2 linked regions of the Alligator mississippiensis genome follow. The protein of the gene in region 2 purifies or fractionates together with the protein of the main gene of each other region. This does not show direct contact. Links are inferred from orthologs where the notes say so. Each region holds a gene or a part of one and is shown on either strand. Other genes may lie near its edges.

Region 1 (6,962 bases), on a different chromosome or scaffold from region 2:
TTGCTCCACTACCCTTGTCCCCCTGCCTCAGCTTTACCCAGAATCCCCCTCTTCAACCCTCACCCAGACCTAGCTCCCCAGAATACCCCCCCTTCTCTCTATTATCCTTTAGCACCATTAGTGATTCTAGTGGGGAATTATTACCCCCCTGTAGGGTTGAATCCAACTTGCCCTGCTGCTGTGATCTTGGCAAGATCTAACCAACAAGCCTAGCTTGAGTTTTGATGATCTTATGCTATGGCGGTGGTGTGGAGGAATATGAGACCAGAACAGGGTTGAGGGAGAGTTTAGAGGGCAATATTCATATTCAGGCTGAGGTTTGCATCCAGCATGGCTCTAGGTTTTAATTTAGTCAAGAAGTTAAGTTCGATTTGAAGTGCTTTTTATACCAGGAGGGTGGTGAGGGGTTGGGATAGAGAGAAATATAAGATCAGAGCAGGTTTGGGAACAGGTTTTAGTGGGGAGCTTCCTCTCAGTGCTGTGTTTGCCTCCATTTTGGCTATGGGTTTCCATCTAGGTGAAATCTAGCAAAAAAGTCAAGCTTGATTTGAGGTAATCTTTTACTGGGGTTGGTGATAGGGGAAATATGAGGTTAGGGCAGTTTTGAGCATGTGTTTTAGGGTGGAAGATTCTTCCCCAGGCTGGGTTTGCCTCCAGCGTGGCCACAGGTTTTGATCCTGGCAAAATCTAACAAACAAGCCAAGGTTTTAATTCAGTTTGTTTCAATCTCAGCAAGATCTAACCAACAAGCCACATTTGATTTGAGGTGAACTTTATGTTGGGTGGTGGGGGTGTGGTGATTAACGGGTGGGAGCACATGAGATTAGAACAGGTTTAAGCATGGGCTTGGAATGGGGGAAATTCCTCTTGGAGCTGGGGTTTGCATTCAGCTTGGTTCTGTGTTTGGATCTTGGCAAGATTAAACAAACAAACCAGATTTGATGTAAAGTGATCTTTATAATGGGGGGGGGTGTCAAGGAAAATACAATATAACATAGGTGTTAACTTTTATTTTTGCTGGGGGGGGGCTAGAGATGCTGCGCCTCCCCCACTCCCGGCATGGGCACAGCTGAGCTGAGCGGAGCTGGGGGTGGGGAGGGGCAGGGACAGATGCGGGTTGCCCACTGTGGGCTCAGGACTCCCCGCCCTGCTGACATCCCCCCAGGAGCCCTGTGCCAGCTGCACACACCTCCATGCCGCCACCTCTGTTGCTGCTGGGTAGGCAGGTGGAGCCTCACCATGGTGGCACAGCTGGCATGGGGAGCCTGGGGGGAGGGCAGCAAGGCAAGGAGCCCTGAACGCACACTGGGCAGCCCACATCCACCCCTGCCCTGCACATAAGCCTGGGGGACATATGACCCGCCATGCTCCTTTTACTGGGAATGCACGCAGTGGCAGGGAACTGCCCCACCCCAGATGAACCGCCAGGAGCTCTGTCCCACTCCCTGTCCTGGTCCTGGGCTCCATGCATCACCATGGCTGGGTAGTGCCCCAAAACCCAGCCCCTGCCCCACTCCCTCCCTCACCATGGGAGCTTCAACTTATGCCCTCCATAGACTTACCTGCAGGCAGCTGGGGGAGCTGCTCTCTACCTGCTGCTGTCTGGGGGTTGCATTCCTGGCCACATGCATGTGTGTGCATGCATGCATGGACATGGCGCATCCCACTCCCCGCAGCCCCTTGCTGGAACTCTGCCAGTCTGCAAGGGGAAATCTGCCATTTCCTTCGTTTTTCCATGGTGAACAGAAAACCCTCAACAATACTGGGACAAATGCTGTCCTGGAGTCATGCAGCCCAGGACCGGGGCTTGATGTTCCCACTTTGGAACTGTCCTGCTCAATTAGGGATAGATGGTCCCCCTACCCTCTTCCGAAGAGGGGGGCAGGGCCTTCAGGCCTCTGCAAACTCTGTGTCTATGTCAAAGCAGGTTTTAGCACAAGTTTTAGTGGGGCAGCTTTCTCCCAGGGCTGGGTTTAGTCTCCAACATAGCTACAGGTTTTGATCCCCCTGCCCTGGTCCCGGGAGGTGATCTTTATGTGGGAGGAATAGGAGGTCAGAGCAGATTTTAACATAGATTTTAGGGGGGCACAATTAATTTTGGAACAGGGATTTGCATCCAGCCTGGCTCTGTGTGTCAGTGTTGGTGAGATCTAACAAACAAGCCAAGTTTGAGTTGAAGTGATCTCTATACCCCGGGGGAGGGGGGAGTGAGGGTTTGGAGCAGGGTGAAAATTAGCCCCTGGAGCAGATTGTAGTAGGCAAAACTCCTCTCTGGGCTGGGGCTTGGGATTGCTTTCTGATCTCAGCAGGATCTAATGAACAAGCCAGGTCTGAGCTCTGCTTTCTTAGCATGCCTTTCCCTTTCAGGCATGCTAAAGCACTCTGCCATTTCTTTCTTTTTCTAACTGGGTTTTTTTAGTGGGAAGGGGGCATGGGTTCCTGTATGGCGGCCATCTTGATCATGTCTTGGCATAGCATGGGCCATGGTTGTTCATGATCATGGTTGTTTGTGTTTGATCATGATAGAGCCATTTAATTTGTGTTTTTCTTTTTGACAATAAATCAGCCCCCGTGGCAATTAGTGTAGTGCCAGTCATTATTAAAACCATAATTTGTGCCACTGGCTTGGATATCTCCAGTGGCTGCAGGTCTGGGGTGGGATGCAGCCAGCTCTGGGTTGGATTGCCTTTGCTCATGGCTATATAGGAAATTGGGGTGCTGGGCCTGATCTAGCCTTGGATTGGGGGACATAAACTGGCTTGGGGGAAATAGGGGAGGGGTATGTCCCATTTTGGGGAATCGGGGCTTATCCTGCCCTCCTGCCCCTAACTGAGAGGGGGGGAAATACCTGTCCAAAGGGTGCTATCCCCACCTAGTGGGTCTTGCAAATGCCCCCCCCCCCAAAGTAATTAAGGGTCAGTGAGTTCAGAGTCCCTTCCTCCAACAGAACAGGAACCCAGAAGCAGATAGATGTCAGTCATGTCAACCCGCTCCCTCACCTTGGTGTGTGTGTTCCAGACGTGGGGCAGGGGGGAGGCAACTGTCAAACACCTGGACACATGGTGTGTGTGTGTGTGTGTGTGTGTGCACGTGCAAATGCACATGTCCCAACACCTAGTTTTCCTATGTGTGTGCGTATGTGTATGTGTATCCATGGCCTGAATGTCTGGGTTCTATGCTTGAGTGTGAGAGAGATGGATGCCTGGGTGTCATGTGTGTGCGTATTCCAGACACATGGGTTCTGTGTGTGTGTCCCAGATGCCTGGGGTGTGTGTGCATGTGCATGTGTCCCAGACACTTAGGTTCTGTGCATGCATGTGTCCCGGACTCCTAGGGTAGCACGTGTGCATGTGTGTGTCCGGGACACCTGGGTTCTGTGCATGTGTGTAGGTACATGTGTGTGTAGCCTGGGTGCCTAGTTTCTGTGTGTCTGTCCATCTATTGGACTAGGACTCCAGGAGTTCAGTGTGTGTGAGGGTGGGCAAGGGGTGCTCAGGTCTTGACATCAGTCCTGCCAAACCTCTCCCCAGTCCTTCGTGTTACTCTTGGCTGGCTAAATGACTATGCTAGGGGAAGACTGGGGGGGGGGGGGGGAGAGGGGGTCACATACTTATCAATATATAGCTGAAGACCCTAATTAATGACTGGGGGGCGGGTCCAGATTCCCTATGCCCCTTTGACCTTTTGGGCTGAGGGGAAACTCAGCGAGGGTGAACACTCTGCATCTCTTCCACCCCCCAAAAAAGGCGGCGAGTCTAGGAATAGAGCTTTTGAACACGTAGCGAGGCATCGGGACCAATTTTCAGCCCATTCTCGGTCTTTTCGGGAACGTTTGGCCGCCAAAAAAGGAAAAATAAAAGCCCACCCCGGTGCCGCGGCGCAAGATGGGAGAATATGCAAATAAATAGCTCGGGCGGGACACCCCCCCAGGCGGGATTGCAGGCAAGGTGGGCGGCACCGGTCGGGGAACAAATCGGCTTCCGATTGCTCGAAGCGCCTGCAGTCTGTCTAAGCCAGCCAATGGGCGGCGTGGTTTCGGGCTCCCCCCCCTTCCCTCTGCTCCCCCCGCGGGAGGGAGACGTTTCAGGCGGCCCCAGTGGCTGGCGGAAGGGAATATAAAGATGGCGGAAAATTTAAAAGGTGAGCGGGGCCGGGGCAGTCGGTCAGCGCGTGCGGTGTGCAGCGGCGCGGCTCGGCTCGGCGCGGCGGTGTGGGGTGGCAGGGTGGAAACAGCCCGGAGGGAGGAGGTGCGAACGAGGAGCGAGCTGCCTCCCCTCCTTTCCCGCGCGCAAGGCGGCGGCGACCGTTAAAGGGGGGGAACTGTTAGTGCTTGCACATGCGCAGAAGGTCGAGGAACCCTCGCATGCCCAATGGGGGAGAGCCCCCCCCCATTGCAACCCCCCTCTAATGGCGGGGGTGGGCAAGAGGGGCCCACCATGAACCTATGTTAAGAGCCCGTGGCTGGGAGTGTTAGAGACAGGCACTGGTTCCTGCCCAGAATGCTCCCCTGTTGCCTCCCATACTCACGCCAAGCTTCCCGGCAGGCACACACAGATGCGCATGTTGCCCCCACACATACAGAAACAGGGTTGTGCCAACTACCATGTTGCATGTGAACTGATGTCCTCCCCCCAGTCATGCAGGGTCGTGCCAATGTTCTGCCACTTGTACTATGATATGGTGTAACATGACCCCAAGACCCCATTTGAACCCCAGCTCTTTCCTTACCTGCCAGCAGGGTTATAACTGGGCTCAGTGTCTCATGCTGTAACTCTCCCCCCCCCCCCCCCCAACAAGTTCACGTGAACCCCCTTCCCCTCATGGCATGACCCGCCCCTCCCCCCATGTGACATTTGACAAGGTCACAGCAACCCCCTGCTCCTCATGACATGAGCTTCACCCTCCCCAACAGGGTCATAACGACCCCTTGCCCCTCCTAACACAATCCCTCCTGCTTCCCCACCAAGGTCACATCAGTGCTCTGCCCTTCATGATGGGTTTAAGCCCTTCGTGATGTGACTTCCCCCCCATTTTGACAGGGTTATGCTAACCCCCTGCCCTTTGTGATATGACCCCCTACACTTGATAGGGTCATACTAACCCCCTGCCCCTCGTGGGGCAACACCCGAAGGGTGCTAAGCTGCCCCTCACTCACACCAACCCATTGCCACTCATGATGTTCCCCCAGCCTCCACCAGCGGTGTCACGTGAAGCCCCTGCCCTGCCTGACTTCCGCCATGCCTATGCCAACCCCTCCCCAACCAGCCCATGTCAACTCCGTACCCTTCATGGAGTGCCCGTGTCGTTCCCCCACCAAGATCATGCCAAGCCCCTGTCCCTCAGGAAGTGAATCATGTTCACCTCCCTACCCTGTGCCCATCAGTGAGCCCCTCCTGACACCTGGTGACAGGCCTGATGGGTTCCTGCGGCTCCACCTTGCTATGGATGATGGAAGACCCAGCCCCGCTTAAGTCAACTTGTGCCAGGTACCTCCAACCCCTGACACAGGCCTTGACACACAAATGAAACCCCTGGCTAACTGATAAACTGCCACCCCCAAAATGCCTGGCACCAGGTGACAACCCCCTCCCCCACACTCATGTCAACCCCTGGTACCAGGTGATATTTCCCCCCACATGCATGCCAACCCCTGACACCAGGTAACAGTCCTCTCCCTTATGCCAACCTTTGGCATCAAGTGACTGCCACTCCATACTCAGGCCAACCCCTTGCACTGGGTGACAACTTCCTCCTCACAACTCATGAACCAGATGACAGTCTCACCCCCCCAGCTAATGCCAACCCCTAGCAATGGGTGGCAGCCCCCCTCACCAAACTCATACCAACCCCAATTCCCTCCCTTTCATTTTCCTTCTTGCCACACTCAGGGGAAGTGAAAGATAAACTGTCCCCTCCTCCATCCATTCCTGTACAGATGCCCCCTCCCACCCTAAAAGTTGCCCCTCATGGGGGCAGGATCCATGGTCTTACACCTGAGAGACCCCTGGGGAAAGTAAGTAAGCTCCATGTGCCCCCTTGGCAAAAGTAACTGAGGGCCACCAAGCCTGGGGTCAGACATGCAGGGGACCTGGGTGCTTGGGTTCTTTTCCAGCTCTGGGAAGGGAATAAGGGTTCAGTGGAGTGTGGGTTGGAAGCCTGGATGTCTGGGTTATTTTCTGGTTCTGGGAAGGAAATGGGGGTTCTGGAGGAGCATGGGTTTGGAGCCTGGACACCTGGGTTCTCTACTGTTTTTTCAAAGGGAATGGAGGTCTGGTAGACTGGGGATTGGGAGCCAGGCCCCCCAGCCCCTCTCAGTTGTGTGGTGCCCCCTGCAGGCTGCTCTGTGTACTGCAAGTCATCATGGGTACAGCTGCAGGACCTGTGCCGCCTGGCCAAGGTGGTATGTCCCGACCTGGGTGTCACTCGTCGCAACCTCAGCCACTTTGAGGTGGAGTACCTGTGTGACTACAAGCGTGTGCGGGTGAGTGTCTTTCCACAGCCCTCTGGTACCTCCATGGGTCCCCAGTACCCCCCCTGCCCCCCACACAGCCATGGATCTCCCATCCAGTTCCCCTAGCCCCCACCCCATTGCCTGACACCCTGCCTCTCAATTCATCCCCTACCCCAGAGGCCATGGTATCCTCATAGCCCCATGATATCCCTGCTGGCCTCCCTGGTACTCCCACAGCTCCCCATAGCTATCTCAAGACCCCCTGGTACCTCCCATGTCCCCCCAGTACCACCACTACTCCCATGGCCTCGCTATACCTGCTATGGTTCCCCCATCTGCCCTGTTAAGCCCCATAGCCCCCCTATATCTCTTGGTTCCCCCCTGGCACCTCTGAAATCCCCGTCAGCCTTCCCAAGCACCCCCACAGCCCTCCTATACCCCCATGAACCCCCTATACCCATCTTGGTCCCCTGAAACCCTAGTGCCTCCCTCTCTACCTCCTACACTCACC
Region 2 (6,826 bases):
AGAGGAAAAAATCGGAGGCAAACACATCCACCAGGTCCCCTTTACACAGCCGGCCAGTGCCGTCCTCCCCCTTCTTTCAATTTTATTCTGGGCACCAGTGCTCAAGAGACGCGGATCTTGCAAGTCAACTCGGTGTCTCTGGGGTCTGGATTTCACGTTGGAGAGTCTCCCTCCCCTTCTGTCCCGTGGACTGAGAATTCGGATTGAAACAACTAGACAAGCTATTAATTTACCCGGGCTACCCGGGGTCCTGAACCCAATTAATTTCTAATAATTACAGCCCAAGGGGGCTAGAGAGATCCCCCTGCCTCTTTCTAGCCTTGCCACTCCACGGCACTGAGGTCAGCATATAATAATAAAGTGTATATTTTGAAAGTGATCTGCAGAACAGTGAGTTATTGCAATGAATGAAAATTGTTTCCATTTTGGCTAATTGAGCTCCCGGCTGCAAGCCTGAGTTGTGAGTCGAAATAAAGAGGGCTGTTTCACTTCAACGCGGAGTGGAAACCCCTGCCCGGCGCTTGGTCACCCAGCAAGAGGCTTTCATTTCTTAACAGCAAACCTGAACCAAGCGTCGGGTCAACAGTATTAATGATTACATTACAATGATTAAATTAATCTTACGGGGAGCTAGGAGAATCTAGGTTGGGCTTGAATAGCACCACGTAAAGTTCACTGCACAAAGACAATAGCACAACAAATACCTCGATGAAGAATTCCAACTTTCCTCCAAAGATCTGCGGGGCTGGTGCAATTATCATTGGAGGAAGGGAAAATTTCTTGTTATGTGGAGGGCGCCGAGATCTCGGGGATGCTTTCTTCTCTCCCCCCCTCCTCCCCCAAATAAACCCAAACCCATGTATGAAAATAGATTTCGCGTTCAACCCTTTTCTGCAGCGGAAAACAAACAATCTTGGTTGGGATTGTACGGAAAACAAGCCCGCACCCCCTCCCCGCAACGAGCGCCGCGGTCAGGAGGCTGCGAGCTCCCAAACCGAGGGCTAGTGCAGCGCGGGCAGACGTGACAACCCGAACTGAAACGGATTTGCAGTGGGTCCGGCGGGGACCTCTTGGGGAGGGCGAGCAATTTTGGGCAGGGTCGGGCTGCGACTGCCGGGCAGCTCGGGACAGCGGGAAATCGGGTTTGATGCCGCCGAAATAAAAGTGGAGAGGTTTGCTGGGCGGCTTGGAAAGCAGGGAAACACCTGTTCAGGGCTCCTGATGGCTCGGGACTGGAAACAAGTGAAACTGACACGCGGGAGCGTTCAGGGACACGGAGCGGGAGTCTCCCAAGGTCAAGAGCCCCATGTGGGCTGCTCACCGGACTCCCTCTCTGCATATATACATTAAACACCCGCTTGCCCTTTCTGCCACGGGGAGGCATATAAACAAACACGCCTGCTCTCCTGTGCAGATGTGCTGCAAAGGGGAAGGGGCAGCGGCATTCATCGGCTCGGGGTTGCAAAGCGATCGAAAATCCAGGGCTTTTGGTTTCTTGCTGCTTTTCTGGGTCTCGGAGCGGGGCAGGAATCTGTGACTGCCCCTGGCCGGGAGCTCGGCCGGGGAGGTAGTTAAAAAAGAAAAAAAGAAAAACAGAAAGAAAAATAAAATAAAAAAGCAAAGTTTTGCAAAGTTTATCGAACATTTTGGATGGCTGCAGAGATCTGGCAGCGCCCGGGCGATTTGTCGCTATAAAAAAACTCTTGGGGAGAAACCGACAACCCCCCAGTGCTCGCAGGGCTTGTGCGGGGGAAGGAGAGACCCCCCCGCTGAGCGCAGCCCTGACAGTGCGGGGCTTCCTTTCTTTCCCACCACGAAGCCGCCTCCTGGACGGTGGTCCCAGCTACTGTCTTCCCCAGGCACTGGCCGGCGGGGCTGATCGGCTATTACCCCGCGGATCACCTACGAGCCTTTCAGCACAGCTCCAAAATGCTTCCAGTCATTCCTTGCAGAAGGGGAATGACTGCAGCACCTGCTGCCCTTTCCTCCCAGGCAGGGGTGGGGGCGTGCGGAGCAGATGGGGAGAGGGGCCGCGGTGGTGCCAGAGCTGGGCTGCGGGGCGCAGCGCCTGGCCGGGGTATGGCTCGGTGACAGGGGGACGGGGGCTTGGAGAGATCCCGGGTTACACCTAGGAGCGGGGAAGGAGCAGGTGATGCAGGGAGAGGAGACACTGCCTCCTCCGCGGCCTCTGCCTGAAGTTACACCCGGGATGTGTCCGGGCCCGTGGGTGCAGAGGCGCCGCACTGATCAGCCCATCCGACGGCTGCAGGGCTGGCTGGCACCCCCCACCCCCACAGGAGAAGGAGACGCGCGGTTTTCCTATCCTGCCCCTATGAAAAAAATAGGTGCGATTCGCTCCAGAGGGAGGTTTCAAACGCGGGTGTCTCGGCCAGGGCTGGGGGAAGCCCGGCGGGGAGCCTGCCCCGGCCGCCGGCTTGTTTGCAGGCACTCGGGACACTTGTGTCTCGTCCCGGTGCGTGGGAACGGGCGAGCGCGACCCCCGCCGGGGCCAGCGCCCCTTTAGTCCGTCCCGCCGCGGCCGGTCCTGCTGCACCACCGGCTCAGGGGAGGGGGAGGCCACTGCTCTCTGCCCCCTCCTTCCCCCGGGAACAGCCAGGATTGTGACAGTGAGCACCAACAGGTGACAAACAGCAACGGGAGCGGGGCTGGGGGGTGGGGGGAGAGAAAAAAGAAAGCGATGCTTAGGGTTTTATTAAAACAAAAACTCGAGCAGCGTGGACGTCCTGGCGCAGCCCCGAGTCCGAAAGACTGTAATTTTCTTTTATGGTGTCTGGCAGGATTTGCAACAGATATTAATGGGAACATAAATAGCGCATGGAAGGTATTGAACAAAACTGTTTAATGCAGGGAGGTTGTACCCGAGGAAAATCTATATGTAGTTCGGATTGATTCATACCTCGAACACAGCCAGCCCCTAAAGGACTTCCCCATTTCAACGTGTTCCCTCTTGGATGGGCAAAGCCTGTAATTAAAACAGATTAGAAGACCAGGCATTAGTCTTTTCCAAAGGGCTTTTTTTTTTTTCCTATCCAAGTGCTGATAGCTGCAGTCGAGCTGGGGGTGGAGGGTGTGTGTGTGTGTGTGTGTGTGTGTGTGTGTGTGTGTTTGTCACTTAATTCCAGGCATGCACAATAATGCAACACACAGCCCCCGTCCACCTCTCTGCCTTTCCAGGCACTGATGGTCGCGAGTGGGTGGGGGAATAAGCCACGGCAGCGCTGCAAGGGTGACAGGCTGGCTTGGATGTGACAGAAAAGCTGGTGCAAAAAGTGTCATGTGCTCCCCTCAAACTCTGCAACAGCCGGAGCGGGGAGGTGTCCTGTGTTATCTATACCCCCCCCCGACAGGGTGGGGGCTCCCAAGCCCAGATCTGATCCGCAGGCTGGTGGCTTATTAATGAATGAAGGCGTGATTAATACTAATAATTAGCAGTGGTGGCGGTGGTGGTTGCGGTGCAGCTGATGGCGGAATAAAACTACTCCCGCTCCTCCCAAGCATCTGGGCGTTTGCGCCTGGTTGGCTCCGGCCAGGTTGTTTGTGCTGGAGAGGAAGAGGTGTCCTCGCCCCGCTCCCGGCCCCCTCCCGCCGCCGATTGCCATCTGACAAGATCCTGAGATCCAAGTGATAGATCGCTCCAAACTTTTTTTGGCGGCGCCGAGAGGTTGAAGAGCGGGGGGGAGCAGCCCGTGCGCATGTGCGAAGGTGTCCAAACTGACAATGCTGGAGAGATAGCGAGCCTGGAAAGAGAGAGTGTGAGAGGGAGAGAGAGAGGGAGAGAAAGGGAGAGAGAGAGAGGGAGCGGGGGAGAAAAAAAAAAGGAGGAAAAGATCCAAGGGGACCCCCCCCCCCACGCAGCCACCCAGCCCAGCAGCGCCGCGGGACGGGCAGCATGCGATCCAAAGGCAGGGCAAGGAAACTGGCCACAAGTAGGTGCAATATCCCTTTCTATTGGCTTTTCACCCGGGCTCTGCCATGTTGCACACGGGGCGCCGGGGGCGGGGGAGGGGGTCGGGTCCCCGGCGCGGTGCAACCTGCAGCCTCCCGGCCCGCGCCCAGCGCCGGGGCGCCCCGCCGGGCAGCGCGGGCCGGGCCGGGCCGGGGGCAGGCAGAGCTCCCCGGCGGGTCGGGCGCGGGCTGGGGCCGCGGGTCGGGCGCGGCGCGGCGCGGCGCGGCGCGGCGCGGGGGTGGGCGAGGAGTTGAGCAAAAGTTGAGCGCGGCAAGTTGAGCGGCGGCTGCGGGAGGCGCGGGCGGTAGTGGGCGCTGTGGGCTCTCGGCCGGCGGCGGGCGGGGCCGGGGCCGGGGCAGCGGCGGCGCGGGCCGCGGGACCCCCGCCCGCCTCCCGCGCTGTCAGCGCAGCCTCCGCCGGGGGCGCGGGCCGGGGCCCACCCGCCTGCAAGGGTCCTCCGCGCTAGCGCCGCAGCCTCCGGCCCGGCCCCGCCCCGCCCCGCCCCGCCCGGCGGCCAGGGGGTGCGGGGCCGCGGCCTCGAGGTGCTGCCATCAAGCAGCCCCTCCGCCCCAGCCCCCGGCCTCGGGCGCGCATCTCTGCCCTCCGGGGGCTTCCCCCTCCGCCGCCCTTGTCCTCGTTGTTGATTATTATTATCATTCTCATCGTTATTATTCTTATTGTCATCATTATTCTTATTGTCATTATTCTTACTGCCATTATTATTATTGTCATTATTATTATTTAAACGTGCACCAAGGTGGAGGAGCAAACTCAGTCCGCTTTCGCGTCTGCTTTGCCCTGCGGCCGATGGCTTGATTCGCCTCCTGGAAGCCAGGCTCGTTGGCTGCCCCTCGCCTCTGCAACTTACCTTTCCAAGTGAAAACGTGCGAGGAGGAGGGTGCGGGGTGGGGGGAGAAATATGACGGCAAGACGAAGGGTTGCGTAAGTTGCATGACGTAGAAGCAGATGCTTTTTGAGTCGTTCTCTGGTGGTGAAAACACACGCACAGGCACCCTTCTCTGGTGGCACACGCACACGCACACACGCCTGTTGTATAGGGATGTGCAAAAAAAAAAAGGGAAAAGCCACAGGCTCCTTTGGACCCGCTCGCTGCCCCCCGCGCTGCCCGCCAGCGACAACCTGCCTTTGATTAGCTGCTTTTTAAACGGGATGTTCCCAGTCAACACAATTTGAAAGCAGACCTAGGAATAAGCCTCCCGAGGAGCTGCCCCGCTGCGAGGCGAAGCGGGAGACTCGGGGTCCCGGCCCCGAGCAAGCCCCGGCCCCGCTGCCCTCTCCCCGGGCCGCCCCGCCGGGCGACAGCCGCCCACTTGGAAGGTGCCCCTCCGGGCCCCCGCCCCAGCAGCCGCCTCGCTTCCTATCCTCGCCCACGAAGCAACTAGCATGACAACAACTTTTTTTTTGCTCTCTCCTTCCTTTCTTCTTGCTATTTTCAGACACTCTCCCCGGCCCCTGCGCAGCGCGTCGGCCGCAGAGCCCGCGCCGGGCCCGTCGGTGGAGCTGCCCGGTGCCCCCCGCCGCTCTGCCAGGAAAGTTTGCAGCTTTTCACCACATCCCGCGAGGCCCTGCCGGGCCCTTGGCAGAGCTGCGGGGCAAAGGGCCCGGTTCGTGGGCTCTCGCCCCGCTGCGGCAAAGGGGCCCCTCTCGCCCCACCGCCACCTTTGTGCGAAGTGAGCCTTCCCAGACGCCCCGCAGCCGAGCAAAGGGAGGGCTGGGGGGCACGTGCCCCGCGTACAGTACAGTGCCGGCTGAAGGATGCCTATATTTTTTAAAACCTGGAAAGGGTGGGGGGGGATTCCCCCAAAGAAACAAAAGGAGCCACTTCGGGAGTAGTGGGGGACCATTTTAAACGCCCAGCTGTAAAAATAAGTCGAGGGAAGGGGAAGAAGGAAGCATATCTCCCGTCCCCCTCCCCTTCTCGGGGGCAGCCTGTTCCGGGCGGCCCCGCGGAGAGGAGCCGCCGCAGCCCCCGTGCCCGTCGGACCCGCGGCACCTCCGCACCTGCGCTGCCGGCCGTGCTCGGGGCCGGGAGCCTGGCACACGCCGCGGGGGGCGGTTTCCCCCCTGCCCGAGGAAACTGGATCCCTCTGAATCAAAATGGCCCGGAAGAGCGAGACTGCCCCGAGCCGGGAGCCGTGCACGGAGCAAGCACCGCGGGGAGCCGCCCGGCAGCCCCGTAAAGAGCCCGAGGGGGATCGCATGAAGGAGCACACGCGGGGGCAAGGGGCAGCTCGTTACTTTTACACTTTATCGCCGTTGTTTTACAGGCGGGCCAGGCAGAGCCAGAGCCCCTCGCGCTCTCGGGGGACACGGTTTCCCCGCGCCCGGCATGCGGCTCAGCCCCGCGCTCCAGCCCGGCCGGACGAGCAGAGCCGGCGACTTTATCTGCCTCTTAAAACCCCGTCCGGGAAATGGCCTGCGTGCAGGGAAAGGTTTGCCAGCGCCCGGGCTCGCAGCCCCTTTCAGCGGGGCTCGTTATCTGCCATCCCGCCTGGCTTCGTGCTGCTCGACGGCGTTGGGCTCGGGGTGGGACCGGGCTCCTGCAGCCCGCCGACGGGCCGAGGACGGGAGCAGCGGGGGCAAGAGCCGGCTCCTGAAGGGGAAGATGGAGGAAGACACTTTGTCTCGCCTGACTTTGCCGGCAGCCCGCGCTCCCGCCCTCCCTTCCCGCCAGGCAGCGGCCGGGCCGGAGCGCGGGGTGCGGGCTGCAGCTCACGCACGTCCCGGCCGCCGGCCCGGGCCCCGCTGGGCTCCGCCAGGCGCCTCGTGAGGAGGCTTCTCCGCCCTGTCGGAGCACAGAGCGCCCCCAGGGCCCCCGCCCTGTCCGTCTGCTCCACA

What was found.
Region 1: the proteins of MECOM (region 2) and SUV39H1 purify together in Homo sapiens (affinity purification with western blotting; 3 studies listed by BioGRID). This does not show direct contact. The link is inferred for Alligator mississippiensis from reciprocal best matches to the Homo sapiens genes MECOM and SUV39H1.

What each region holds. Positions count from the first base shown.
Region 1 is NC_081831.1:28,365,192-28,372,153, reverse strand, and holds the start of SUV39H1 (histone-lysine N-methyltransferase SUV39H1), read left to right. Parts: upstream 1-3,955; 5' UTR 3,956-4,121; coding exon 4,122-4,140; intron 4,141-6,335; coding exon 6,336-6,481; intron 6,482-6,962. UniProt on the Homo sapiens protein: Histone methyltransferase that specifically trimethylates 'Lys-9' of histone H3 using monomethylated H3 'Lys-9' as substrate. Also weakly methylates histone H1 (in vitro).
Region 2 is NC_081830.1:74,444,017-74,450,842, reverse strand, and holds the start of MECOM (histone-lysine N-methyltransferase MECOM), read left to right. Parts: upstream 1-3,815; 5' UTR 3,816-3,910; coding exon 3,911-3,947; intron 3,948-6,826.